Linked DNA regions of Oryzias latipes. The protein of the gene in region 1 purifies or fractionates together with the protein of each later gene. This does not show direct contact. Links are inferred from orthologs where the notes say so. Each region holds a gene or a part of one and is shown in the gene's direction. Other genes may lie near its edges.

Region 1 (4,246 bases):
TCATTTCTACAATTTCTACAGGAAATGCAACAGGCCGGGGAGTGCAAAAAAATAAATAAAATAAATGAATTAAGAAATAAACATTCGAGACCCAATATGGCGTCAACAAAAGTCAACCAAACAGGAACAACATGAGTTTACAGAACCCACCGGCAAATTTCCCACCACAGGAGGGAGAGGAAAAAAAAAAATCTGAATAATAATACAACATTGCCTGCCAACCAACAGCATATTATTCAACAGAATCTTTCAAGGAAGGAAAACACAACAACATATGACAGTCTCCTCACAACACCAACAAAAATTTCACTGTGACATAACTCTGTATTGTTACATCCTAATAAAGTCCTGATAACGTGTTGGAGCACGCACCATTCTGCCACTGCGGGAGTGTGCAGGGGCTGTCCCAAACGCGTCCCTCTGACCCTGTTGGGGTGGATCACCATTATCTGGGGGGTCCAATGAAGTACCCGCCGAAGGAGAGGATGATGGCGGGGTGGACATACTGTCGTTTGGGGAACCAGCAGGCAGGGGAAGAGTGTAACGTTTTAACCTGTCATGATGAACAACCTGGGCCCGCTCAGACATATCCAGGGGGTTGACAATGCGATATGTCAAAGCGGCCTCTGCACCTGAAGCCAGAACCCGATCCACACGATAGGGACCTTTCCAGTGCGGTGCTAGTTTTGTGCGGCCCTCTGTTGGGTTATTAAGCCAGACCAGAGCACCCTCTGTAAAGCCCTTGTGGTGAGAGTTCTCATCATGGTACAGTTTCTGTTTCTCCTGCGCCTCTGCTGCATTAACCCTCGCTGCACTGAAAGCAATCTCCAGCCGCTCCACAAGAGACGACGCGTATAAAGGCAGCGTGGCTGCACTGCCAATGCCACCAACCCCACTAGGAATGAGAACCTCTGCCGGGGTCCGGGCTTCGCGCCCGTGCATAAGATAAAAGGGAGTAAACCGTGTGCTGGTGTGCTTGGAGATGTTGTAAGCAAAAGCAACAGATTTCAAATGGTCATCCCATTCCCCCCCCATGGGACAACAACATCTTGGCCAGCTGGTCAATTAGGGTAACCCGGGAGGGACACACCTCTCCCAAAATAAAAGATCCAGGAAGTTGGTTACATCTGTTTTAATTGTGGTTTGACACTTTATACAGCTGCCACAATATTGTAAACCTCAAATGTTTTTTCCAAACGAAAAACAATTGCTCTTCCGCCTGATAAACCTGGTCGCCTGCTGATGACGTAAGCAGAGCGACACGTGGAGCGCTGTTAGTAGCTAGCAAAGCGGTTACCCCCCTTTTGCGGAGACTACCGATTCGTTTTGAAGACAGACACGACCGTCATGGCCGCTGCTGGGACACCGGGCAGGAGAAGACTCCTGAAGGAGGAGGACATGACCAAGGTGGAGTTTGAAACCAGTGAAGAGGTGGATGTCACCCCTACCTTCGACACCATGGGGCTCCGTGAGGACCTGCTCCGGGGAATCTACGCCTACGGTAGGCCGGTGGATTCGAGAGGCCTCCGCCTCCAGATGCTAAGCCTAAATCCGCTGTGTGGTTCAGTTCACCTTAAAAAAGGAATGAAAACGTAGTTGGTATCAGACTACATCCCGTAATAACTTACATTAAAGCGGGTAGATTGGTGTGACCTGATCATTTTGTCGTTGGCGGGAAGAAAAACTTCATCTTTTTAGCCTTCATGCTAGCATGCTAAGGCCGCGTGCGGCCGCGCTGACATGAAATTAGTTTAAATTCGTGTTGATTATTTACTAAACGAAAACCAGATACTAAAATTTGCGGGTTTCGTTCAGTAATGCCTGGACACGATCTTTGTTGGTATTGTTGCTCGTAACAGTCATGATCCAGGAGTTAGACGGTTCCCATCCTATATGGCTTCGTATATGTAGCGAATATTTTACTAATTTCCCCCAGAACTATTAATAAATATATGTCAACACTTCTGTCTTAATGTGTATTTTAATTTTGTTTCTGTTCATGTGTTCTGTCTTCTCCAGACGGCAGAACATTTTATGAACATATTATCTGGACCCAAAAGGACGGGAGAAATCCCAATAGACAGAATCGATCAGATTTGTATCTACAGTAATATTGAAGTGTTGCACTGATAAAGATGAATTCTCTACATTTTCCTGGACTATTGTGCTTGAGAGGATCCTTCTTTACCCCTAAAACCCAGTTTCTCCATAGAAATCCTTTCTGTGGGACTAAAACTTTTCTTTCTGGTCAGCATCACCAGAACTTCCCACTTTGGTCCCCCTCAGTTTGAGCAGCATGGGAACTTCTCAGATGAGGTTTCTCTATGTGGAAATGAAGATGGACAGCACCTGACCAGGTTCTGGTTCTGTTACAGGTTTCGAGAAGCCTTCAGCCATTCAGCAGAGAGCCATCAAGCAGATCATCAAAGGCAGAGATGTCATCGCTCAGTAAGTCTGGGCTGGAAAACATGCAGGTGCTCTGGTCCTCCATGCTGTAACGTGTGATCTGTGCTGCATTCAGGTCCCAGTCTGGAACAGGAAAGACGGCCACTTTCTGTATTTCCGTCCTGCAGTGTCTGGACATCCAGGTGAGTTCTTGCTGTTCTTGTGTCCCGTGACAGACGGGCCAGAACCCGTTTGCAGCTCGGTGGTGATGCTGTTCCTTCTGCAGGTCAGGGAGACCCAGGCTCTAATTCTTGCTCCAACCAGAGAGCTGGCCGGACAGATTCAGAAGGTAGCCCCGCCTCCACCGCCATGTTCAGCCAAAGGCTTGTAAGGTAGAGGCGGCGGTGCCAGTCACGGTGTCCTGTGTGCAGGTGCTGCTGGCTCTGGGAGACTACATGAACGTTCAGTGTCACGCCTGCATCGGAGGAACCAACGTGGGCGAGGACATTCGCAAGCTGGACTACGGCCAGCACGTGGTAGCTGGCACCCCTGGACGGGTTTTTGGTGGGTTCAATGGGTTTTATGGCAAAAGTGGCACAAACGGGAATGCTGACGGCGTCTCTTTACAGACATGATTCGGCGCCGCAGTCTCAGGACCAGAGCTATCAAGATGCTGGTGTTGGATGAAGCTGATGAGATGCTGAACAAAGGTGAGGTCCTCTGCTGTTCAGCGTCTTCTGTACCTGCAAAGCAGCTCTGTCTGAGCTGAAAGCTCACCTGCTGGTCATCAGAATAACTCTGGCACCTTTGGTTACGTCTGAAATGTGTTGAAGGAGCAGGAAGGGTTGGTCCTTCCAGGTTGGAACCACCTGTTCCAGACACACTTGAAGGTCACCTTTCCTTTCAGTGGTCGTGTTTTCGGCTTAATGTGTCAGATTTGAAAAGTCCATTTGACGCCATCGGGCCGCGATGTCACCACTTCCTGTTTAGGACGTTTAAAGCAACACTTCAGTGAATTTTAACGGTGACATGGAGATGTTCTAAGTGAAGGTTAGGAAGAACCTTCAGCAGAATCTTCAGCAGAACCGCTAGCAGGGTCAGAACTTTAAATTCATGTCTGTAGTGTTGCTAGTGTCACTGCAGAGAATGGTTTCAGATTTCTGCTTTAACATTCCAGATTCGTGGGGGAGCAGAGCTTTTGGGGGGTGGGGGTGGTGGTCTCTGTAGCGCATGGGGAGGTCTTCATCTCACCACCACACATCTTTGCTTGGCTGTTGGTGTTTTTGCTCTTCGTCGCCATCAGATCTTTTTCATTCTAGAATCCTGGACGGATTTTTCTACGAAGGCTTGAACTTTAAGAGAAAAGTCTGGAAATGTTGACAGCTAGCTTGTGGATTTCACCTGTGGCCGGTTATTTTAGAAGGCAACTCCCGCGATGGGAATGCTGTAGTTGAGTTCCGGCGTGACTGCACTTCCTGAATGACCCTGGTCAGTCAAAGCCGCCGTCATGGCTGAAGTTCTGGCAGACCGTCCTAAACTACGAGCTCTCTGAGAGGTTTGGGGCCGGCCTCAGAGACGGAGATGCTTCTGGGTCTCAGGGACCAAAAATCAGGAGCAGCCTTTCTCCGGTTTGGAGCACCTGACATCTCTGAGACTTCATTTTCAGTCTCTGACAGCAGAAACAAACCAATGTGTTTTTTCCTTCTGCTTCCTTGTTTCCATCATTTCTGCTTCTTCCTGGTCTAATCTTCAATAATAGGCTCATGATTGGACAGAGTTTGGTTATTGGTCACCTAAATCACTTCCTGTTTGTGGCGTAAGGACACGATGGCGTCAGTCATGTGACCATCTGGGTAGTCAC
Region 2 (4,217 bases), on another chromosome or scaffold:
CATTGCTCATCCCATCACGCTGCAGACACCCTACAGGGAACCCCTGAGAAATGCGGTTGAGGCCCGTTACAACCAGCACCACTCCAAGGCACGCTCTGTGGTGGAGATGAAGACGAGGTGGAGAGCAGTATTTCTGGGGGCGTTGGAAGTAAAACCAACCTTCGCGGGAAAATCATTGCCTGCAGCACCATCCTGGACCATCTGTGCATCGGTGAAGGGGACTGGTTGGAGCCACAGATGTTGAGCCACAGCAGGACGACACCAGGAACCAGCAGAATACCACATTATTTATAGTCTTTAAAAGAACATTGGACAGATTTGGAGTCACGTTGGAAATGACATTAGTCATAAAACTGGAAAAACAATCACATTTTCAGAAAAACAAACCATTTTGGGCTGTTATGACAACATGAAGCAGAACTTTATTTTTATAACACAATTTATTTTGTTTTTGAGAAATTTCATATATATAAAAGGAAATGGTCAAACTCTAAACTTGATTTTGAACACTTTTTGAATGAAATAATTAAATATAGTGAAAGTATCAAACAAATAAAAAAGAAAAAAGAAATTTCAACAAATGTAATATTTCAAAAGGTAATTTTTTTAATAAACTCTGCAGCTCATTGTTATTTTTTTGTTTTGCTTTTGTGATGTTCCGTACATTGTGCATTCCTTTCTTTTTTTCTTTCCTTATTGTTGACATTCATGCTTTTGTTGTTGTTTATGACTAAAACTTCAAAAACTGTTTTTTTTCTTTTTTACTTCTTTAAGATCCATTTATAGACTAAAGTACTGAATTGCGACATTTTTTCATCTGCTCCTGGTTCACAACGATTTGAATGAAGAAATACTTAGAAATGCAGTTTTAGGCCTAATTTTCTTCATAAATGTCCTCCAACATGAGAAAAATGCCACAAGAACATTTAAAAACACTAACAACACAATTCTCATCGCTGTTGGTCTTTAACTGCCACCTGTTCTCAGCTGCATTTGATTAGTTTTATGCAAAAGTTTACATCCACATTACTTTACATTCAGCTCTATTAATCTTTTTTTACTTATTGATCACTCCTTTAATACCTTTTTATGTTTCCTTTAATGTTTTATGTAAAGCCCTTTGTATTGTCTTTTTTTTAAATGTTCTCTACAAATAAACTTGACTTGTGTATAACCACTATTTAAGTATAAAAGGAAATTTTTAAAAAAAATCAACAATTTGTAATTATTTGTATAAATGAAAACAGCTGCAAATATTTTTTCTCCATGTATCTTTTGGAGAATTTGATACAACCAACAAACCCGGAAATGAACAGTCAGCGTAAATTGGCTGCTGTGAAACAGGCCTCTGCTGTGGCTAAACCGGTTTAAAATGTGCTGAAGTGATCTTCTCGGCGTTGTCCCGGGGAACACCGAACTGGCTTTTGATGTCGACGCTCGCGAGCGCGCACAGAGAAGCCCCGCCCCTCGCGGTGCAGCATCCTGGTCACTTTTTACAGTCGAACGTATTCTCCGTCACGCCATTTTCCACCGTCGGCTGGAGGCAGTGCATCGGCGAGACGGGTGCACGTGAAAAAGAGTTCTTCTCAGCGGTGAATTCCTTCGGCTCCGGTACAGGTAGTGCAGACATTCACGGACCTTCAGCGCCGTAGACACGTGCTTTAGCGCTAAAGGAAGCAGCCGCGTGCGCCATTGTCTGATCACGTCGTGTGTTGAACCCGCCGCCGCCGCAGGAGGAGAAGGCCGCGGAGTATCGACAGCCATTTTAGCTGCTTTTATTCACCCGTTTTCTCCGTTAGTGAAGTCTGTGTGTTTAAAAAAAAAGTCAAACTACAAAACTGAAATAGAGTTGCTAAGTGTGAGCTTAAAGCTACCGGTTATGGCTAACTTTACACGATCGTGTGGCTAAAGTTAGCATTTTATGCTAACTTTGGTAGAAATGTGGATCAGTTTTCTAAATGATGATCGCGTGTAGTGGAAACTCGATGCGTATTTAGACCCAGCCCACCAAAGTAAGAACATTTGTAACTATATTTATCGAAATCTTCGTTTGTTTATTGTGGCTCATTGAAAAACAGGTATTTGGAGCATCATTATCATCGGTGGCAGAGCAGAGGCGGATCTCCGGCCGTACTGTTAGTTTGGTCTGTCCTGGTTCATCCACGAAACCGATCAGTCGACTACAGTAGAATTGCTTGATTTGAAACCAGAAATGTAATCTATCATCTTCTTATATTTTTAGCTGATCCTTGTGTTTATAACCCCGTGGTTTTGATTATTCCAGATTCCATCATGCACCGTGACTGTCCCCTGGACTGTAAGGTCTACGTTGGAAATTTGGGCAACAATGGGAACAAAACCGAGTTGGAGCGCGCCTTTGGCTACTACGGACCTCTTCGTAGCGTCTGGGTGGCCAGGAACCCCCCAGGTTTCGCCTTCGTAGAGTTTGAAGATCCCAGAGATGCAACGGATGCGGTGCGAGAACTGGATGGAAGGTACGTCCCTCCCTGTGTGATTTTTGTAGGTACGGCCCGCAAAATCCTCCCAAACGGGTTTGTCTGGCCACCAGCAATTCCACAGAAATCAGCGTTTGGTATGAAATGAATGACAGGCGTGAATGTTGTCGCAGGACACTGTGCGGCTGCCGGGTGCGCGTGGAGCTGTCTAACGGGGAGAAGCGCAGCCGCAGTCGCGGCGCTCCTCCATCGTGGAGCAGGCGGCCGCGGGAACGGGACGACTACAGGCGGCGTAGCAGCCCGCCACCCAGGAGAAGGTAACCCAGGGGTTCTTTGATGGAAGGGATTTCTTAGCTTTATATCCTCTTATGTGATTTACTTTACAGTACATTTCCTGAGAACTGCTTTTGGGTTTCCAGTCTGGGTTGTTGTGTTGTTAATTTATCTTTTCTTTCTTTCTTTTTTGGTGACTGTTGACCTGTCTGCGCTTACTTTGTGCAACAAGGAAAACACACAAAATATTCAAATATTTGTCAAAAGTACATTGTGTAGAATGGGACTTTGGCTTTTAACAGCCAGAGTCCTTTTGTGTGTGTTTCGTGTGCACACCCAAATCTTTGTTTAGGAGTTTGACAGTGACAAGAGGTCATAAATAAAGTTTTTAGTTTGGAAAAAGAAGTAAATTTGTATAAAGTTTGGGGCGGGCGGTGTGAGGGGTAAAACTGCCAAATGTCTTTATATTTTTTTTTTACTTTTCATCTATATTAATAAGAATGAAACCCATTGCAGAACCACCACCATGCCTCTTCTCACCACCCTCAGTCAACTAGTCCTCTTTCAGCATCACGCGACTGCTGACCGTCGTGTCCCAATCAGCTTGGCTGGTGCTGTCACATGACCCAGGCTTGGCCAGTCGTCAGGTTGCACCAGCCCATTGGTTCCTCAGCATGCCGTTCTCAACCTCCTGCTCCTTCAGCCTTAAACCAAAGGGCAGCCACCCACTTCACATTCCCGACCAATCAGCGTAAAATGTTCCCAAATGTCTACAACCCACCAGCAGCAGCCGTCAGCTTACCAATTAAAGCAGGAAAAAAGCCACAACCAGCCCCCATCTGCCTGCCATCTAATCACCTTGCAGCATCTGTCCACTCCTATTCCGCCAATTCTACCTACGCGGCCGGCAGTCTGCCTTCCTTTCGTCATATCTAGCTTGTTGAAATCCAAAAAAACTAGTAAGTTTCCCTGCTTCATTCAGTACACTGCTGATTTCAGTTTTGAAAGTGAAGAGACAGCTGGTTTGAAGAGACTTTTATTGTTTAAACTCTAGCTTTGTCATCCACCATGTGAGTCTTTGTTTCAATGGGAGTGATCAGATAGATGGAGCCTGCTGTCAGAGGAGCTTGATGGTGCTGATGTTAGGGGATCTGGGCACATCGTAGGTCACAGCAGTCACAACTCTGTTAGCTGGAAAAAGGCTAGCTTCAGGTAAACGGGTCAGTGGGGGGGTTGATTAGTCAAACACAGAGCAGTTTACAACATTTGTTTCTTTTTTTTTTAGCACAAGAAAAATTTGCAGCCTGTTTCAGTAATTTTTTAAGCTATCTTCACACCGAATGGGATTCACACGTCGAAGGCGTCCAGTTTTGTGCTGACACGATCTGAGGTTCGGCAGCGGCGCCTCGGGCGGTGCATCCAGACTTCAAATGTCTAAACGTTGGCGTTGAATTCGTTAACCACCCAGGGACTTGCCTCAGGCCTGTG
Region 3 (4,313 bases), on another chromosome or scaffold:
AATGTATTCTGTTTCAAATACTTCCAGAAATATATGGTTTCCAAAAAAGTTGGACCGACTAAAGGAGTTTCTAAATGTGATGTCTTGAATCATCATCATCATCATCATCATCATTGAGGTTCACGTCAATATTTACGTAATGAGCCAAATTTTGGCCTGTCAATACTCTGATCAAGCCTGAAATATATTACATATCTATAAATGATTTAAGCATTGATTTACATCTATTTGGTCCGGTAAACGGTAATAATCTGTTTATGACAAAAACAGGGAAGAATTTTATATGTCTAAAGTGACAATTTAAAAGAAGCAACAAATTTTTTTTTATGTATTTGTTTGTTTGTGACATCAAACACTAAAAAAAAGCCTCTCTGCAAATTTACCAGTTGGCCAAAAGCCCCCCCCCCTCTATTTGTTGTCCCAGGACAGAAGGTAAATGTGCCTCACTAAATATAAAGTAATCATTTAATGAACGCCTGGTGAAAGGTGAGTTTTCAACTGTAAAATGGTCAAATATGTTTTTAACTACAGGATCTATTTCTAAATTGTTGTGCCTTTTTTATGTTGTTTGTTTTGGTGTAAAGCACTTTGTGTTATCATGTTCTAGAATTATATAAATTTTACATAAATAAAGATTGATTAGATTTGATACACAGAAAAACAAAAACAAATACCAAAGATATTCTCTAACTTTCATGTCTTGAATACCTTAGGTAGTAATAATATTACTACCTAGTAGTAATAATATTACTAATATATAAAAGATGCAAACTGCCCAGAATTGGGTCAGAATCAATATTTAGTTTAGATTAGTTTAGTCATTTTTTATTCTGTTTTCAATCATTCTGCGTTGTCTTTGTGGAAAGAGAAGCCAGATATTCTCCTACCTTTCTCCTGCAGAACCTGTAATATTTTCTGTGAGCAGCAGAAATGTGTTTGTTTTGCTTAATTGATCCATGATCAACCATCGACGTGTTGACCTCCCAGTTCAGAAACTCTGAGCAGACTGCTTCACTGGCTGCCATTCTCCTCAACTGGCAAATTAAATGCACGACAAATATGTTTGTGATCGTAAAAAACGCAACTTTGTGATAGAACGCGTAAATACTGACAAAAAGAGAGATATAAGTTCTCAAACGCGGTAAATACCCTTGTATTTCCATGCGAGTGTGCAGCTCACCGGAAGTGGAAGTTCAGCTTCCGGTTGTACCTTGAATGACCCGGATGTCCATCATTTCAATCGCTCCGCTGTTATTTCTCTGTAAGAAGCTGCTGTTGCTGCTGCTGCCGCCTCCGGACTCTGCCGTTCAAAATAAGCAAAGCTTTTCCCGGATCCACCGGTCTGTCCCGCGTTATTTTTTTTACACCGGGTGTCTGCACGCGTGCAGCTCAGGGGGGACAACATGTCCAGGAGGAGACACAGCGACGACAGTGACGGCAAGTCGCGCGCTGCATGTGCGATTCAAACGTTACGGCTAACGCGGCAGCTAGCTACAGCTACCTTGATTATCTGTATGTGCTATAACTTTAAAGGAATGCAACGATAGCAGGCGTTGCCCCAATATCAAGTATTTTTTTAAAGCTACTAAATAAATTAGGGGATTTTAAAAAATGATTTTTAAGAGATTAAGTTTTACCAGAAAAACCCGGTTCCGTTAGTTAGCTACTTTAGCTAACGCTAACGGCCAGATTTATGTTTTATAACGGTTTCTGGCACACAAAACACATTTAATGTTTGTAAAGACTGGCGTAAGTGTTGAAAGAGACACTTTTTCTGTGGGTTCATCATCATGCGCATGGAAACGTGATGTTACAGCCCTGTGGATTTTGTGATTTATAAAGGAACATTCACAACCAAAGTGTCTCACGGTTCCACACTAAAAAAATATCAGACCTAACAATATTTTTATATAATGTAGGATTAGTTTAGTATGTATTTGTCATTGTATGTATAAATGACTTCTATTGGCTTCCATTGAGTGTTTACCTTTCATTCAGAGATTTCAGTAAGGAGAGAATCAGCAAGGCAAGTTTATTTCTTAAGCACATTTTATGTACAAAGGCAATTCAAGGTCCTTTACATAAAACACTAAAAGAAAAATTTAACAGAAATATTAAAGGAGTTATCACCAAAATAAAAATTTAAAGAACTGAAGTAAATACCAACCTGCATTTAAATAAACTGAGTGTTTCAGCTGATCCAAGGCTTAATTCTGGTAGTCTGTTCCAGATCTACAGAGCATAGAAGCTGAATGCAGCTTCTTCGTGTTTGATTTCGACTCTAGGTACTGACGAAAGAGCAGATCCAGATTACCGGACAGGTCAGAACTGGACTGATGTGGTCTAATATTTGGCTCCTTTGAAGGACCCGAGCAGCAGAGTTCTGAATACGCTGCCGTATCGTCCAGCAAAAACACTGGAACAGTAGTCAAGTCGACTAAAGATCGACTTAACACATAAACAAGTTTGGCCAAGTCCTGCTTAGACATCAGATCTTTATTTTAACCAGATGAAATTATCTCAAAGCGATGTTAAAAAGATGGGTTTTGTGCTTCTTCTGAAAAATCTCTACGGTCTCTGAGGCTCTCCGGCAGGCTGACGTCCAACTGTTTGTCTTTAGCCCTAGACACAATATTCTCCATTTTTCTTCTGTTTACCTAAAGTATATAGGAGGAAACCTCCAGTAAAGTCAGATGGAGTATGTGTGACTGTCGAAACACTAGATTTTATGAGACGAATACACTATTTTCCCCCCAAAACGTAGATTTGTTTTTCTGTCTTCAGTGTCCTCTCAGGTCAGAGGTTTAAGTTCTGTCCTTTTCATTTTTAGGAGGTCAAGCCCACAAAAGGAGGAGAACATCAGAGCCTATTGAGATTGAAGACCGCCTGGAGTCGCTGATATGTCGCGTTGGAGAAAAAGTACGATGGCCGTTTTGTCATAAAGCCATATATTTACTATTTAAATAATTTGCAATAACTAAAGTCCGTCTTTGATCTTTTAAAAGAGTACATCGTCCCTCGAGAGCAACCTGGAGGGGCTCGCAGGGGTTTTGGAGGCGGACCTTCCAAACTACAAAAACAAAATCCTGCGTATTTTATGTGCAGTGTAAGTTGTCCGCAGTTCTCCTCATTCTCAAGCGTAACAAACGGTCCGTTTTCACAAACGCGTCTTTCGACAGAGCCCGCCTCCTGCCGGAGAAGCTGACAGTCTACACGACGTTAGTCGGCCTCCTGAACGCCAGGAACTACAACTTTGGGGGAGAGTTTGTGGAGGCCATGATCCGGCAGCTGAAGGAGACGCTGAAAAACAACTTCTACAACGAAGCCGTTTACTTGGTCTGTTGATGTTCAATGTCTAAACTCGCAGCTGCTGCAGCGCCTTTTGCTCTCGGCATCGTTTAAGTTCTCTGCTCTCTTCAGGTGCGCTTTCTGTCAGACTTGGTCAACTGTCACGTGATCGCTGCCCCTTCCATGGTAGCCATGTTTGAAAACTTCATCAGTGTTACTCAGGAAGAAGATGTGCCACAGGTTTGTTTCTGCACGGCCTCACCTGGAATATTTGTTTGCATCAGAAGTTTCAGTTTATGAACATCCCGTTCTTTTTTTACTTAATGTCACATTTAAGGCGCCTCCTTTTGTTTTACTGCAACGTCTGAGTTTCCCCATTTCAAATTCAGCAAACTCCTTTATTTTTGTATCATCTGATGTTCTCAATGACGACTCAAAATTCCATGACTTGGTTTTGGGAGAACTGCAGTCCAATCAAAAATAAAAATGATTGTTTTCTGTGTAAAAATAGTTTTAGATTTATACAAAAACGATTTTTCAGCTTCTCAATTTGACTTGAAGATGAAGATCAGTAAGCGTGAGACCCTTTTGGCTCCAGGTTCGGTTGGACTGGTTCGTGTACGTGGTTCTGTCCTGCCTGCCGTGGGTCGGCAAGGAACTTTATGAGAAGAAGGACGTGGAGATGGACCGACTCCTGAGCCAGATCGAAGGCTACCTCAAGTGAGACGCGGCCTCTTTTCTGGAGCATCTTTTGCTTTCCATTGAAGCTGTTGTTGGACTGACTCCAGCGCTCTGCTGTGTTCCTGGACAGGAGGAGGGTGAAGACTCACGTCCCCATGCTGCAGGTGTGGACCGCTGAGAAACCACATCCACAGGAAGAGGTGAGCCTTTTGGACAAGCAGGTTTTGAAACGCAAGTCTAAAAAGATGCATTAGAAGGATCGAAGGGGGAAAAAAATCCAGATTGCTTTGAAGAATTTTAAAGAGAAACGACTCCTGTGAGGAGAAACGCTGGAACGTCGGCAT
Region 4 (3,487 bases), on another chromosome or scaffold:
GGCATCGGTGACTGTTAGGGAGTCTTTAGTGAGATAATAGAGCCTCTTATTTCCGATGAATATCGGTGAAGGGGGATCAGTGTCGGGGTCGGACTCAAAGAGCCTCTGTTTGATGCCTCGGTCCCAGCGGCTGGTCCTGGGTCAGCCAGCAGGAGAACAGAGGAGGGCCTGTCTCTTACTGTACAAACACACTGTACAGTGCTCACACTCACGCGAGTGCGTATCTGTGTGTGTGTGTGTGTGTGTGTGTGTGTGTGTGTATCTGTAGGGGGGGAGCAGGGCATGTGACTGAATAGTAGGTTTCAGGTCTGTAGGTGGTTGACTGATCCCAGACCAGCCATCCTTTGAAGAGTTGGACCAGTTTCTGGAGTCTTTTGACTTCCTGTTAGTAACATACCAACAATGGGATTGAATGGAATTCCTGCTGTAGTAAACAAATGACTTATTTATTTTAATCTACTATTATTTTAACCAAAAATGAATGGTTTCTCCCAGACTAAACTGAAAGGCTGTGAAAACATGATCCTATTAATGCTTCTAGGGAGGCTCTTTGCCCCTTTTGACACTGTGATCTAACATTGATCAAAGCAGAAGGTCGTGAAAAAAAACAACAACTATTTGGCACTTTGGGAACTGTCACAGAAAAGTTTAAAAAAGAATCACAAAGCGGTAAAAGGTGCTCTTAAACCTTGTGCTATCCTAGGCACTTTAACATTGGGAGTTGGGTCATCTAGACCCACTAGACAGTGCTCTGAACCTTTTTTCTTCAATGATTTGTGATCTTCACTGGTGTCCATGGATTACATGAAATCTTCTTCACCTTTATCCACCTTTGTCATGGTAGGGAGAACACGTCAAAGTAAGGGTGGGGTCATCTAAGATAGCACAAGGGTTAAGCCGACTTCTATAGAAATTAAAACCAACTTTTTATTTTGAAAGAGCAATGCACATCTTATTTTGAAATTTGTAACTCAGGAATGGTTTATTTATATTTGTCAATATTGATTATCTTATGTATATATTATGGTAGAGTATTATTATATTTAGTTTTTTAGTCAATCTGTTCAAATATATATATATATATATATATATATATATATATATATATATATATATATATATATATATATATATATATATATATATATATATATATATATATACATAATTGAAAAGTAGTATTGTTATTTAAAGTTGAAAAAATACTCAGAGAAAACAAAAAGCACAAAAGTAACTACCAGACAAAAATTGATATTTTACCTCAGTTAAAAGTTGAACAAAATAGATGAAACTTAAAAATAAAAATTATATATTTTACTTTGTTAAAAATAAATAAATAAAAACACCGGAAACGGAAACTCTAGTAATTCGTTGCTTCTTCGTTGCTGCAGCCTTGACTCTACAAACAAGAAGTCGGAAGAGTCTGTCTGGATTTTTCTTTTCTTTTTTTCTTTTAAAACAACACCACCGAGAAACGTAAATGGCTTTAGAATCCAGAATCACTCAAGAAGAAATTAAAAAGGAGCCAGAGAAACCCATTGACCGGGAGAAGGTAAAAACAGCGGCTCGTTAGCCACGGATGTAGCTAGCAGCCTGGTTTGCTAGGCTAACAACATGCTAAAGGGTATTAAACACAATAACGTCCAACGCCGAAAGCAGCAAAAATTACTATTTTTGTGGCTGAATTTTGCTGCTAAAGGTAGTTTATAAAAGTCTATTTAAATTAACCCAATAAGTGATTTAATGGTTAAAAGAAATCAACCGTTTTGGTGACATACGCGTGCTAGGGTTAGCCTGCTAGCTGATGGCTACATCATGTGAGATTACCAGGGTCCTGGTCCCTCGTGTCCCCCTACATTTGGGTCGCGTGGGCTTATGTTCTGAAGGGAGGCTTTATTCATGTGCTTTTTGGTCGAACCTGTTTAATCGGGTTTCCCGAACTTTGGATCAGTGGGTTCTAGAACCTCAACCCCCCCTTCCCCACCCTCCCTCGCTGAGACTAAAGTCGATACTACGACATTGAACTGGAACCACTTGGATTGTAAAATAATTGTAAATTATTTACTTAAAAATGCAGTACAATACATTTATCACATGCAGTGGTTTTAAATGTATCAATATAGCGCGAGGGGCAGGCAGTCTAATAGAATTCAGCAGCTGGCACACAGTACACTTCCGTTTCACTTGCAAAATAAAAGCATTTAAAAAAGGTCTTTGGACCCAGTATTTCAGTTACTGTTTAAATGTAATGCCTGTATTCTTTTTTGCAGACCTGCCCTCTTCTGCTGCGAGTTTTTACCACCAACAGCGGCCGCCACCACAGAGTAGACGAATTCGCTCGAGGAAATGTTCCCTCAAGTGAACTGCAGATTTACACGTGGTACGTAACTGGTTCCGACTTCCTGGTACTTTAACCCAAGAGTCCAAATGAAATCTAAAGTGAGTCTATTTCTTTCATTTTTTTTTTTTTTTTGGCCAGGATGGATGCCACTCTGAAAGAACTCACCAGTTTAGTGAAGGAGGTTTATCCAGAGGCCAGAAAAAAGGGGACCCACTTTAGCTTCGCTATAGTCTTCCCTGATCTCAGAGGGAAAATGTACAAGTACGTATAATTGTCGTAAACAGCTGTGAATTGGTTTTTTGCTTTGATTGAACCTGTTTTGTTCTGTAGGTTCAAAGAGATCGGCAGTACGATATCTGGCAGAAAGGGTCCAGATGACTCCATGACCTTGCAGTCTCAGCGGTTCCAGATTGGGGATTACCTGGATATCGCCATCACGCCTCCCAACAGAGCCCCGCCTCTTGGCCCACGAATGCGTCCTTTCTGAACCCATGCTCACCTAAATATGTGCTTTGATTGACAACTCTATTTCATTTGTGTCTTCAGTAGTTTTGTGTCATTTTCTAATAAAAAAAAACTTGTGTTCAATAAAGACTTTTCATTTCAAAAATTCACCCTTTTGTTTTTTCTTTCTTGGTCACTAAAATAGTTCGTCACTTTATTTTGAAAGGTAGGCCTACAGATTGCAGTCTCCGGTCGCGCATGCGTAGATTCTCAAACAGTCAGCTAGCAGCAAACTAGCGTAGTTAGCTTTGCTGCGGCGTGAAAACACGTTTTCTCTATCAGAAAATCTCCAAGGTGAAATGTTTCGTAGAAAACTCACTGCTCTGGATTATCACGACCCCGACGGATTCGATTGTTCGGGTAAGAAAACGTTTAAATACGGCGAAGGGGGGAGAAATTCACCCGTTTCCAGCTGACGTTGTCATTATTGTGGAGCCGAACTAAAACTACCCTTCTAAAAATAGCAACTTTATAAGTTATGTGTTCAAAATAGCAACAAGAAAGATTCAAATGTCGTTCTATTTATAGTTTAGAAAGTTTACTGTACCATAATTAATTCGGCGTAGACAGCTTCATGATTTGATCTACTTAATTGAAGAAATTATAACTTTTTTTTTAGCTGCTTGCTAGTTTTTCTAAAAC
Region 5 (3,730 bases), on another chromosome or scaffold:
GTGTGACTTCAAACCCTTTCCAAAGTGTTACTAATGGTAAAGAGAAATTTTCTAGGCTTCTTTTCTGCCGGTTGAAGTCTGACTGCAGAAGGACCCTTGGCACTGAAAGTGTACGTATTCTGAGGAGCGCAGCCCAGGAGCCCTGCATCAGTGATGGCTATACTTCTTAATCCACTTAAAGAAACTACACACCCTCAACTTTCCATGTATCTTCTTGTTTTTCATTAGAATGTAAACAGGAAAAGCATATTTGTATGTAATTCAGTTATTGTTATTCTGTAACAGAGCAGCAACACAAATTAATCTGTTAGTCAGGGTTAGCTGTTTGTGCTGTGTGTGGGTGTCTGCAGTCTAACCTGATGAGTGCCTTTTGTTTTGTTGCTGCTCTTTCGCGCAGGGGGCAAAACGCCAGACCCCAAGCTGCAGGTGAGGTCGTACGTAGACGTCATGTTGGAGCAGAACCTGTCCAAAGAGGAGGTAAGAGTCCTGCTGCACGGCGCTCACCGGTGACTGTATACGAGAACTGGACTGAGTAGTCCCTCAACGAAAGTGGGTGGAGCCTCCTGGCCCCCACGTTCAAGACATTTGACAGATTTCATGTAGTCTGCTTTCTAGTGGTAGGGGTGTGGCCTGATTGGAGAGAGTGGTTGCCAGTGAAATGTTAACCATGTTTACCATGTATGCCAACTGAGTTGACTTCATTTGGTTGGACCTGGAAGAAAACGGGCGGCTGTGGAGCAGTGGTAGGGCGGTCGACCCATGATCGTAAGATTGCAGGTTCGATTCCCGCCTTGCACGCCCATGAGTCGAAGTGTCCTTGGGCAAGACACTGAACCCCACCTTGCCTCTGGTGGTAGGCGGGCGCCTGTGTTTGGCAGCGGAGCCGCCACCAGTGTGTGACTGTGTGTGTGACTGTAAAGCGCTTTGTCCTTGTAGGAAGAAAGGCGCTATATAAGTATACGCCATTACCAGAACCATTTTCTATGGAGGACATCACACTCAGTCAGTCCAGTTTTCATGGACAGTCAGTGGCGTTAAGATCCAGTCGTTTAGCAGTCGCTCAAACCAGACGTTGACACAGAAACGTGAGCTTCAGTGTGTTATTTAACCAAAACGCTGCAGGAGGAGGAGCTGCTGCTAAAATTCCAGATACGACGTTCAAATCAGGAGAATGTCTTTCTGTTCTACCGTCCTTATGCTGCCTTCATTACCAGGTTCCTGTCAAATTTGCTTTGGCGTCCACTATATGGACATGCGGCGAATTCTCTGCTCAACGCTCATCCAAACGTCTGCTCATAAACTAGACCCCCCCCAGACACGTGTGGGAGGAGCTACCAACTCATGATTTTAGCCTGATCGCCACGAGGAGCAGTGTCTGTGTTCATCTTATTCACAATACATGAAAGACACGGATGATGATTTATTTCTTTTGAAGTCATCACGCCTCCATGTTTGGGTCCATGAGATCTTTCAGAGACTCCCGGTACAGAGCTTCACCACTGCTGCCGGAGCTGAATGACGGACGCTTTCTCTGCGGTCTGACTGCTGCCCCCCGAGGAGGGAAAAATACATCTAGGAATAAGATCAGAGGACATTTTACTATTGTCTCGATGAAAATAAGAAAAATCTGAAGTTCAGAGGAACGATTAGATACTTTGTGTTGGTTTTTACTCCACCCGCCAATCGTGTCACTGAACACGCCACATGCCTAAAGCAGGGTTCCTAATAAGTTTACGCGACGCATTATCCTCGCCAAAGTTCAGATTTGACTCTGGACGTGTCATGATGTTCAGATCGCGCTGCTGCCGGACTGACATGCTGTTCCCGACGCTCAAACGCTACCGCAGGACCTCAGATCCTGTCTGTGCATTGGTCTGAGGCTGTGAATCACATTCAGTCTGAAGGCGGCTTTAAAACACGTGATGGATGCAGCAGAGGGACGTGTTTACTTTCCTCCTCAGCTAGAGTTCTTCTGACAGGATTCTGTTCTTCAGGCTAACCAGAGGAATCTTTTCTAAATGAACCTTCGAAGTCCAGCTGAATCCTGTGAGAACAGGCCCTGCATGAATGAGACAGTCCAAAGCTCTGTAGGAGACTTGTCTTTGTGAACTGGTGATGGGCTCTGACTTCCTGTGTGTTGGATTGCAGAGGGAGATCCGTCAGCAGCTGGCAGAGAAGGCAAAGTCGGGGGACCTGAAAGTGGTCAACGGGTCTGCTGCCTCCCAGGCCAGCACAAAGCGAAAGCGCCGCTGGGACCAGACAGCCGACCAGACCCCTTCCAATTCCACACCCAAGAAGGTGTCCAGCTGGGACCAGGCTGATGCCGGTGCTGAGGTGAGCCCCCTCCCCACCCTGAACTCTGATGGTTGTGAAGTACTTTTGCCGTTGACCGATCTTTCTGGTCCTCAAGACTCCAGGACACACTCCTGCTCACACACCGTCAAACAGCCGCTGGGATGAAACTCCTGGTCGTCCTAAAGGCAGCGAGACCCCGGGGGCCACCCCCAGCTCACGGATGTGGGACCCCACCCCTAGCCACACCCCCGCTGGAGCTGCCACCCCTGGTAGGGACACGCCTGGCCACGCCACCCCTGGCCACGGAGGGGCCACTGGGAGCGTTCGGAAGAACCGCTGGGACGAAACCCCCAAGACGGAGAGAGAGACCCCGGGTCACGGGAGCGGCTGGGCGGAAACCCCCCGAACAGACAGAGGAGAAGAGTCTGTGGGGGAGACGCCGACCCCAGGAGCCAGCAAGAGGAAGTCCCGGTGGGATCTAACTCCAGCCAGTCAGATGGGGTCCTCTACTCCTCTCCTGACCCCTGGAAAAACCCCGTTAGGAACGCCAGCCATGAACATGGCAACGCCAACCCCAGGTAAACAATAACCCCCCCATTTCAGCCCCTGGCAGCAGAAGATTGGGCTTTAACAGAGCTGCCTCTGTGTCCCTCAGGACACCTGATGAGCATGACCCCCGAGCAGCTGCAGGCGTGGAGGTGGGAGAGAGAAATCGATGAGAGGAACCGGCCTCTCACAGACGAGGAGCTGGACGCCATGTTTCCCGAGGGCTACAAGGTGTGTGTGGCGTGTCACGCCCCCCAACAGTAATGGGCTAAGCCCTGTTGTGTAATAAGAGTTGGGGGACAGGCTGACAGTGTCTCTGACTGAGCTGAACATGTAAACGTCTGCTCCAGGTCTACAGACAGAAACCAGACATGGACTTTAATCATTTATGGCGGTTAGCGCAGTTCTGTTCCACGCACCGTAACATCATTTCTGTTCGGTGTGGAGTTTAGGCCACGCAGCCTGCATGCTGCATGACCAGATCATTGTTACATGACTTTACAATCTGATGGTGTGAGCGGTCTTACCAACCGTTTCTTTCTGCAGGTGTTGCCCCCCCCAGCAGGGTATGTGCCAATCCGCACTCCGGCTCGGAAGCTGTCGGCCACGCCCACCCCCATCGGCGGGATGACGGGCTTTCACATGCAGGTGGAGGACCGCACCACCAAACAGATGAACGACCAGCCCTCGGGGAACCTGCCCTTCCTCAAACCCGATGACATCCAATACTTTGACAAACTCCTGGTGAGTCTGGCAGGACGGGGGGGCTGCGGTGGGTGGGGGTCTTTTCTGTGGAGGTAACGGTCTGTGTCGATGTTAGGTGGAGGTGGACGAGTCGACGCTGAGCCCCGAAGAGCAGAAGGAAAGGAAGATCATGAAGCTGCTGCTG
Region 6 (4,191 bases), on another chromosome or scaffold:
TCTTCCGGTTCCAGGTGCTGCTGTTGCATTAAGGAGACCATGATGGAAACTGACATACAAGTCAAGACTTCTCAGCAGAACCACAACTCTTTATTATGAGCTGATCATGTTTTGGACTTGCTATGTAGCAAACTGTCAGCCAGCAGCTGGGTTCATCTTTTCTAAAGAACTGTCCTGCTTTTGAGCAACGTTATTCTTAATTTCTTATTTCTTTGATGCAAACTCTAATACATTTCTGATTTGTTTAGGTAGTTAAATTTACATTAAATCAATGAAAGTGAATCAGTGGAACAGATTAGGGGGGAACATTTGTGTTCACTTTGTTCCAAAAAATAAAATGCCACCCTGTGTTTAAATTGTTTCTTTTTTCTTTTTTTTTTTGCAATGTATTAATTTTTGAACTTTGAATGTTTAAATGTGTCAGAAGTCAAAAGCAAGAAACAGATGTGATAAATCTGTGCACAAGACTAAAAGTTTTCTCTTCTGGACAGTTAGTAGGCATTTTGCATATAGTAGAACTGTTAAAGTCAAGAAGGATGAGTAACAGTTTTAAATACTAACATTTATCTAATGTACATTTAAAAAAAATGTGAAAAAAGTAAGACAGAACAGAATAAACTGTTGTAATCAGGCTGCAGCCAATAGCATGGTTCCACGTTTCACATATAGTCTGCAGCTGGAGTATTGCAGTGCAATACTATGCAAAGATGGTGCAATTCTGTGTGCCCTTGAGATGGAATAGCTTTGCATAAAGGTTTCTGAATGAATCTCAGAAACTTTACAATATTTTCTAAAAGAGTAAAGAAAAACCTGTAAAGCAAATATCAATTCAGATTTAAAAGCTGGTGATTTTATTTTAAAGAAGAAAGATATCCAAACATTTGAAATATAAGGTTTTTACATTTTTGTAATTGGCAACATATACTAACCTAAAAATAGACTTTTGTAAGTGCCATCTTCATACAACAGAAAATACTTTTTTTTAAGTTCCTCGCCAATTTTTATGAGGCTTGAGCTTTTATTTATTTCAAACTTTGAACAAACGTGACAACTATAACCCAGGCAAAACTGAACAAAACGCCCAAAAGAAGAAAGCAATAAATCTATCAATAACAGGAAAAACAAAGTTAAAGATATTTCCTTTAATCACAAAGTTAAAAGCATGAGTAGAAAAAGAGCATCACCAATAACTCATCGTATTTAAAATTATGTTTCCAACAACAAAGACTGTCAGATGTCCAGGTCAAATATCCACCCGGAGTCAATAAACGAGCGCACAACCGGAACTGATACCTCTCACGCTAACACTGGTTAGCAGTTACGCGGCTTTTTGACCGTTTGCATCATAATGTCTGTTAAATTAAACGCTTTACACAGCGATTCTTACATTGAAGTTAGTCAGTATAGGGACCAACATTTTAAGGTAAGTGAGAAATGAACGTAGAAGTCATATGAGTTGTTTTAGACCCATCAAGCTAGCAAAACATGTGAAAACAAAAGCGCGGTTATGCTTCATTTTAAAATTAAATTGATTGCACCAATAATTTTGCTCCTTGTCAATCGCTTTAGTAAAGTTACAAAACAAACATGTTATTCTCTTAATTACACCGCGTTTTAATTGCTTGCATTGCTGTTTCTTAGTCCAAATTCAATATAAAAATAATAAAGCTTTTGCTACACTGAAACAATTATTTTTCTGTTTCGTTCGTTATTTTCGTTGTTTTGATGGATGCATAATTTTACTTTAATTCAAATCAAGCTTTAGAAGATATAGAACCTTTTATAAATGAATCTTAAAAATATTTAAAAATAAAAAAAGGGTGCTACGTGGACAACAAGAGGCAGCAGCACAAGAAGACCCAAGAAAATAAAATCTATAGTTAACATTTCGAATGGGCAATAAATTTATAGATTAGATTTATTTATTTTAACCTTCCACTTTTAAAATGCCTTACACAGGTTGATTTATAGCTTAAAGAAATAAAGGAGGTGAAATAAAAAGGTGTTGTATTTTTTTCGTGCCAAATGTCTATTAATTGTCAAGTGTTGACAATTTTTCATTGCTTGTTCGGTATTAGGGGAACCGTTATGAACAGGAGAAGCTGCTGAAACAGAGCAACACTTTGTATGTGGGGAATCTGTCCTTCTACACCACTGAGGAGCAGGTGAGATTCTTCAACTCTGCTTCAGACTGATGTGAAGTTATGATCTCCAGTCCTGGTAATGAAATAATTAGGTCAATTTTTTTTTTTTTTTTTTCACGTCTTAAGTCTTTTTTTTTTAAAATTAATTTCTTTCCTTTGGTGACTTTTTAACAGGTTCATGAGTTGTTTGCTAAATGCGGAGATGTTAAGAGGATCATCATCGGCCTTGATAAAGTCAAAAAAACTGCCTGTGGCTTCTGCTTTGTAGAGTATCCTTTTGAACAACCAGACATGGATGATTTATCTTCTATGCAAAGGTAAAAATGTACATTTTGTGATTCCATCTCCCTAAATAACATATGACTTACATTATTTGATAAATATTTTTGTCATCTTTTAAATAATTAAGACCTCATGATTTGTGTTGTGGCAGTTACTTTTCTTCATCATTTTGGCAAAGCTCCATAGGTATCTACATTTACACCATTTAGGCTCTAATGAGTTTGTAAAACACACAGCGAGTATAGTAATTTAAACCTTAACTACAGTTATAGTAGGTATTCTGTTAATGTTCACTCTAAAGTGTTTTTGCTTGTGGTTACAGAGTACAAACTTAGTTTTATTACATACCTTAGAACTGTTTAAATGTAGAAATTGTTTTGCATGAAATCTATCAAACTTATTAAGAAGCCGACAGTAACATCCCAGTGCAGCCCAAGCCGACTGAAGCTTTTGTTAGAAAGGATTTAACTGCTGGCGTGCCAGATATTACACACGAGGAGATGCAGAAAACGCCATGCGCTTCGTTAATGGCACACGGCTGGATGATCGCATCATCAGGACAGATTGGGATGCTGGCTTCAAAGAGGGCCGGCAGTACGGGCGAGGAAAGTCTGGAGGACAGGTGAGATATGGTTAAAGTGTCTGTGAAAAGTCCAAAAGTGTTTGTTGATGCAGTTTGCGTCACAAAGTACATACGTCTATGAAAATGTTTGATTGTTGTCTCTGTTTTTGTGTAGGTGAGAGATGAGTACAGGCAGGACTACGATCCTGCCAGAGGAGGCTATGGGAAGCTGGCGCAGCAACAGCGGAGCACAGAAGCTCGCAATACTTTTTAGACCAAGTCTGAGTGTTTTGATTGGACTTCATACAGGACTGAATTTATTCCCTGATGATCAACAAAAAGCAGGCAGTGTCCAAAGAGATCTAGGACTTGGAGATGAACAGAGAAGGAATAAATCTTCTATGAATACCATTTATTTCAATCTGATATCATCAGTCAAATCCATTTGAAATAGAATGTTGTTGTTTTTCTTAACAATTGAGACATTTTGTTTAGGTGTAGTGAATGTGCATTACTGGGGTGGAGCTTTTATTAACTCTTTTTTTTGTCACCAGTTAGTTACAAAACTATTTTCTAAAATTGTTTTATGATTCTTTTTGAGTGCAGTTAACATTTTCTCTAAATTGAAAAACCTGCAGCATCTCACTCCTATTTCTCTTATTTGGAATTAAAGAAATATAAAGGGTCATACCAGACTTTTTTGTTCAGTAGATAATAAATTATCCAGTGAATTATTTTGAAGAAATGTTTTTTTTCTGTTTCCTTTTTTATTTTTTACCCTTCTGATTGCAATTCTCTAACAAAGTTATAGCTTTGTTTAATTGGGTGGGTTTTTTGTGTTTGTTTTTCTCTTGTGGTAAGAATTCAAAATGTTAAATTTATTTTGTCTCTGTAGACTTTTTATACAATAAACACATTTAATTAAACTGTCAGTTTTATTTGTAAAGCTTTTGATCATACAAAATGGATAATAAATGAAAAAATTCATTGAATATTATAATCCACGTAATGAATTTTATAAAGGTCTGAAAACAGTATGCTATTAACATTACTTAAATATTTGCTGCAATCTCCTTTATGTAAATGAGGATGCATCATTTAAGTCTATGCTAAAAGAAATTTTGCTTTTTTTGATGATTTTCTTTTTAAGAGAAGTTGACTTTTTACAATTTTCTTAAAGCTGTTGTTAGTTCTCCTGTTTTT
Region 7 (3,730 bases), on another chromosome or scaffold:
AGCTTCAGAAACTGCAGCAGCTGAAGGATGAGACTGGAGAGCTGTCGTCTGCAGATGAGAAACGTTACAGGGCTCTGAAGCGCACAGCTGAGAGGGAGCTGCTCATGGTAAGACAGCTCAGCATTTGTACTATGATTGATGGTAGACAGAACATTATGTACTCTTAAGGGGTTTTTGGTCTGGCCCATTAAAAAACACGCAATCAAAAATCCCATCTATGCGGAGCTTTTTTTTTTTTTTTTTTTTTGATGGCTTTGTTTTTTTAGCAGCACAGAAAATCTAAATGGTTCCAAGATATGAAAAGAAAATATTCAGATCATTTAAGAGTTTTTTGTGATCACTATCTTCTATTGAGATGGTGTTTCCATGGAGAACCTATGAGTTTGTGCTCCATTGTACTATTTATTTTTACTTTTAATGGTATAAAACTGTAAAAACAGTGCAGATGCACCATTGCTTTGTTGTGTATGTACTGTGTTGTTAGCATTATTGCTGTATACGTGCAACAACTGCAAGCTGCAGAGCAAACAATATAGAGATTTAAAGTGAGAACCTGACTGTACTGAAGATCAATGCCCCACAGTACCGTACTTCAGCTGGCATAACACCTAAGTGGAATATCAACAATAAAGAAGAAGTGACCTTTTTATCTTTTGCACAGGTCTTAAGAGTTCTACAAACTATAAGTTCCCGTTTTTCTTTTCCAGAACGCTGATGTGATTTGTTGCACCTGTGTCGGGGCTGGGGATCCCCGTTTGGCCAAGATGCAGTTCCGCTCCATCTTGATTGATGAGAGCACCCAGGCCACCGAGCCGGAGTGTATGGTGCCGGTGGTGCTGGGAGCCAAACAGGTAAATAAATCCCACCTCTGTTCAGAGAAGTGCAAACGGATGTTCAGTTGCTTTGTTGCAACATTAATTTAGGATATTTGTCATCACACGTATGAATCACAAGTATATGTGTGACATCTGTTTGACCTGCACTCTTCCTCCCAGCTCATTCTTGTCGGGGACCACTGCCAGCTGGGTCCTGTGGTGATGTGCAAGAAGGCAGCAAAGGCGGGCCTGTCTCAGTCTCTGTTTGAAAGACTGGTGGTTCTGGGAATCCGGCCAATCCGCCTGCAGGTCCAGTACCGCATGCACCCGGCTCTCAGCGCCTTCCCCTCCAACATTTTCTATGAGGGCTCGCTGCAGAACGGTGTCACTGCAGGTTTGTCTAAAGACCCTTCGGGGGAGCTTTTATTCCCACGGACTGAGAAAAGCTGTGAAGAAAACAATGAGATTTTCATGTCGTTTCCAGCTGATCGCATCAAGAAAGGCTTCGACTTCCAGTGGCCTCAGCCAGATAAACCCATGTTCTTCTATGTGACTCAGGGTCAGGAGGAAATTGCCAGCTCTGGAACCTCCTACCTTAACAGGTAAAGTCACTTCACCCTTTATCTCCAGAGATGTCACCACCTAAAAAACACACGCTCTTTGATATACATCTTTGACAAAGGTGAATCGGCTGATTCTGACGCAGCTCTTCATTTTGGCTTTGCACCGTTATGCAAGACATCACCAACGTAAAGTGCTGTTCAGCACAAAGCTTCTTTTCTCTGCTACAAAACCTGCTGGAATTCCGTTAATTGCATAAACGTTTAAAGAGTGTGTCAACACCACAGCTAAAGCTTAGGTTTAAATGGTAAATAGCCTAGACATCGCTTTTCTACCTTCCTCGAAGGCCCAAAGCGCTTTACAGTCACATTCACACACACATTCACACACACTCTGCTGCCGAACAATGGCGCCAAGCTTCCACTAGAGGCAAGGTGGCTTCAACATATGGGCAGGAAAGGCGGGAATCGAACCTGCAATATTCTGACCAAAGGTTGACCGCACCATGGTTAAGCTACTCAACTCATGTAAATAATCTAACAAATAACAAACACGGACGAAAATGATTCTCTTTTTGCCTAACAAATATGGATGGGTATCGTTAAGCTTTTAACGGTACTACTACTCTTACTGATGCTGCTTATCGATCCACTATTTTAACGATACTCTTATAGATACTTTTTGAGGACGAAAAAAAAATAAATAACAAATAAAGAACATAAAGTGTTTTATTTCCTCATTATGCAACATTGTTTTTTTAACAAAACATTTTACTTTATACATTTTCCAACTTGAAAAGTAAAATACATGAAGAAAAAAGAAAAATAAACAGCAATGTTTTGACATATTGCTATCATGATGTAAATATTAAACAAATTGAATAAATGTTTGAGCTCATAAGCTCATCCCAGAGAAAGTCTGTGCTTCAACTCCCGCAGTGAAAGCTGCGTCTTAATCTGACGCCCGTGTTTTCATCTCTCTGACAGTTTGAAGTCAAAGCCCCTCCCCCGCCTCTCTACCTGCTTTTCCTCTCTACCTGTTCACCTCCTCTGCAGCAGCGAGTCGTTGTTTTTTTCCGTGCCCCTCCACTGTATGCTTCACAGAGAGCGCAAAATACGGTCATCATAGCTTCTGGTTGACACGATAGTCGGGGCGCTCTAGCGCAGATTGAATTAATTTTTACGTGGGCCTGCGTACTGTCTGAACAACAGCCCCGCCCCCCGTGCACACAAATAGCCATACAGACCTTTCCTCTTCAGCGAGAATAGCGAAATTAATATCATCATTAATTAACGGAAAATTGACTAACTTGGTGAGTTAAATATGGCAGATACCGTTTATATCTTGTGGGACACAAAAAAAACCAGATTTTTCCAGTACCGATAGCAGAACCGTTGAGGTCAGATCTTAACGATACTGCGGCCTTGAAGAATGTTGCCCCGGGGCTCGTTCAATACCGGGGCTCTGTACCCATCCCTACTAACAAAACTGTTGAAACATTCCAAACATACACAAGAAGTGAGGAAAATGTTCCAGCCTTGTTGTTGAGAAAGAAGATTGAGTAGCGCCTTTATTCCCATTTTTCCTTTTCTTAAGGACTGAGGCTGCAAACGTTGAGAAAATCACCACCAGGCTGCTGAAGGCAGGAGCCAAACCCGATCAGATCGGCATCATCACCCCTTATGAGGGCCAGCGCTCCTACCTGGTCCAGTATATGCAGTTCAGTGGCTCCCTGCACACCAAACTTTATCAGGTACCAGCACTTCTGACTTTTCCTCCTAAAAATGTAAAATATCAACAGAATATGATAAATCAAATTCACCCAAAACCATTTAAAATGCTTACTGTGTTTGTGCTGCTGTTACTAAGACATACCCCCATCTCTCCTGTTCCATCATAGCAAGTGGAGATTGCCAGCGTGGACGCCTTCCAGGGCAGAGAGAAGGATTTCATCATTCTGTCTTGTGTTCGTGCAAATGAGCACCAGGGCATTGGTTTCCTGAACGACCCTCGTCGTCTCAACGTTGCGCTGACCAGAGCCAAGTGAGAACCGTTTAGATCACGAGCAACCTGGGCTTCTCATTTGTGCAGATTCTGAACCTCACTTTCAGTCTCCTGTGGTTCTAACCTGATCTGTGTGCGTTTGTGTGAAGGTATGGGGTGATCATTGTGGGGAACCCCAAAGCCCTGTCTAAACAGCCTCTGTGGAACAACCTGCTGAACAACTACAAGGAGCAGAAGGTTCTGGTGGAGGGGCCCCTCAACAACCTCAGAGAGAGCCTCATGCAGTTCAGCAAACCCCGTAAACTTGTCAACACCATCAACCCCGTGAGTACAACCTCCTGCACCACTAA

Evidence for each region.
Region 2: the proteins of eif4a3 (region 1) and serine/arginine-rich splicing factor 3 purify together in Homo sapiens (affinity purification with mass spectrometry; 3 studies listed by BioGRID and IntAct, with this or other methods). This does not show direct contact. The link is inferred for Oryzias latipes from reciprocal best matches to the Homo sapiens genes EIF4A3 and SRSF3.
Region 3: the proteins of eif4a3 (region 1) and ncbp1 purify together in Homo sapiens (co-immunoprecipitation; 3 studies listed by BioGRID and IntAct, with this or other methods). This does not show direct contact. The link is inferred for Oryzias latipes from reciprocal best matches to the Homo sapiens genes EIF4A3 and NCBP1.
Region 4: the proteins of eif4a3 (region 1) and sap18 fractionate together in Homo sapiens (co-fractionation; 3 studies listed by BioGRID and IntAct, with this or other methods). This does not show direct contact. The link is inferred for Oryzias latipes from reciprocal best matches to the Homo sapiens genes EIF4A3 and SAP18.
Region 5: the proteins of eif4a3 (region 1) and sf3b1 purify together in Homo sapiens (co-immunoprecipitation; 3 studies listed by BioGRID and IntAct, with this or other methods). This does not show direct contact. The link is inferred for Oryzias latipes from reciprocal best matches to the Homo sapiens genes EIF4A3 and SF3B1.
Region 6: the proteins of eif4a3 (region 1) and ncbp2 purify together in Homo sapiens (co-immunoprecipitation; 3 studies listed by BioGRID and IntAct, with this or other methods). This does not show direct contact. The link is inferred for Oryzias latipes from reciprocal best matches to the Homo sapiens genes EIF4A3 and NCBP2.
Region 7: the proteins of eif4a3 (region 1) and upf1 purify together in Homo sapiens (co-immunoprecipitation; 8 studies listed by BioGRID and IntAct, with this or other methods). This does not show direct contact. The link is inferred for Oryzias latipes from reciprocal best matches to the Homo sapiens genes EIF4A3 and UPF1.

Annotation. Positions count from the first base shown.
Region 1 is NC_019859.2:157,989-162,234, reverse strand, and holds the start of eif4a3 (eukaryotic initiation factor 4A-III), read left to right. Parts: upstream 1-1,244; 5' UTR 1,245-1,347; coding exon 1,348-1,501; intron 1,502-2,375; coding exon 2,376-2,448; intron 2,449-2,521; coding exon 2,522-2,588; intron 2,589-2,671; coding exon 2,672-2,734; intron 2,735-2,816; coding exon 2,817-2,949; intron 2,950-3,014; coding exon 3,015-3,095; intron 3,096-4,246. UniProt on the Homo sapiens protein: ATP-dependent RNA helicase. Involved in pre-mRNA splicing as component of the spliceosome. Core component of the splicing-dependent multiprotein exon junction complex (EJC) deposited at splice junctions on mRNAs.
Region 2 is NC_019863.2:2,322,570-2,326,786, reverse strand, and holds the start of serine/arginine-rich splicing factor 3, read left to right. Parts: upstream 1-1,407; 5' UTR 1,408-1,427; coding exon 1,428-1,617; intron 1,618-2,284; coding exon 2,285-2,495; intron 2,496-2,629; coding exon 2,630-2,773; intron 2,774-3,245; exon of another isoform or gene 3,246-4,217. UniProt on the Homo sapiens protein: Splicing factor, which binds the consensus motif 5'-C[ACU][AU]C[ACU][AC]C-3' within pre-mRNA and promotes specific exons inclusion during alternative splicing.
Region 3 is NC_019868.2:27,750,841-27,755,153, forward strand, and holds the start of ncbp1 (nuclear cap-binding protein subunit 1), read left to right. Parts: upstream 1-1,403; coding exon 1,404-1,437; intron 1,438-2,830; coding exon 2,831-2,919; intron 2,920-3,005; coding exon 3,006-3,106; intron 3,107-3,179; coding exon 3,180-3,336; intron 3,337-3,420; coding exon 3,421-3,528; intron 3,529-3,886; coding exon 3,887-4,008; intron 4,009-4,099; coding exon 4,100-4,169; intron 4,170-4,313. Other genes in the region: tstd2 (thiosulfate sulfurtransferase/rhodanese-like domain-containing protein 2), read right to left, coding at 888-1,163. UniProt on the Homo sapiens protein: Component of the cap-binding complex (CBC), which binds cotranscriptionally to the 5'-cap of pre-mRNAs and is involved in various processes such as pre-mRNA splicing, translation regulation, nonsense-mediated mRNA decay, RNA-mediated gene silencing (RNAi) by microRNAs (miRNAs) and mRNA export.
Region 4 is NC_019860.2:16,860,027-16,863,513, forward strand, and holds sap18 (histone deacetylase complex subunit SAP18), read left to right. Parts: upstream 1-1,358; 5' UTR 1,359-1,480; coding exon 1,481-1,552; intron 1,553-2,270; coding exon 2,271-2,380; intron 2,381-2,479; coding exon 2,480-2,602; intron 2,603-2,671; coding exon 2,672-2,828; 3' UTR 2,829-2,955; downstream 2,956-3,487. Other genes in the region: rtraf (RNA transcription, translation and transport factor protein), read left to right, coding at 3,145-3,205. UniProt on the Homo sapiens protein: Component of the SIN3-repressing complex. Enhances the ability of SIN3-HDAC1-mediated transcriptional repression. When tethered to the promoter, it can direct the formation of a repressive complex to core histone proteins.
Region 5 is NC_019879.2:177,983-181,712, reverse strand, and holds part of sf3b1 (splicing factor 3B subunit 1), read left to right. Parts: exon of another isoform or gene 1-110; intron 111-397; coding exon 398-477; intron 478-2,148; coding exon 2,149-2,334; intron 2,335-2,410; coding exon 2,411-2,873; intron 2,874-2,950; coding exon 2,951-3,072; intron 3,073-3,387; coding exon 3,388-3,585; intron 3,586-3,661; coding exon 3,662-3,730. UniProt on the Homo sapiens protein: Component of the 17S U2 SnRNP complex of the spliceosome, a large ribonucleoprotein complex that removes introns from transcribed pre-mRNAs.
Region 6 is NC_019862.2:17,994,103-17,998,293, forward strand, and holds ncbp2 (nuclear cap-binding protein subunit 2), read left to right. Parts: upstream 1-1,255; 5' UTR 1,256-1,348; coding exon 1,349-1,423; intron 1,424-2,078; coding exon 2,079-2,165; intron 2,166-2,318; coding exon 2,319-2,413; intron 2,414-2,909; coding exon 2,910-3,048; intron 3,049-3,163; coding exon 3,164-3,262; 3' UTR 3,263-3,917; downstream 3,918-4,191. UniProt on the Homo sapiens protein: Component of the cap-binding complex (CBC), which binds co-transcriptionally to the 5' cap of pre-mRNAs and is involved in various processes such as pre-mRNA splicing, translation regulation, nonsense-mediated mRNA decay, RNA-mediated gene silencing (RNAi) by microRNAs (miRNAs) and mRNA export.
Region 7 is NC_019862.2:13,856,046-13,859,775, forward strand, and holds part of upf1 (regulator of nonsense transcripts 1), read left to right. Parts: coding exon 1-107; intron 108-707; coding exon 708-851; intron 852-995; coding exon 996-1,209; intron 1,210-1,299; coding exon 1,300-1,417; intron 1,418-2,972; coding exon 2,973-3,129; intron 3,130-3,276; coding exon 3,277-3,419; intron 3,420-3,529; coding exon 3,530-3,704; intron 3,705-3,730. UniProt on the Homo sapiens protein: RNA-dependent helicase required for nonsense-mediated decay (NMD) of aberrant mRNAs containing premature stop codons and modulates the expression level of normal mRNAs.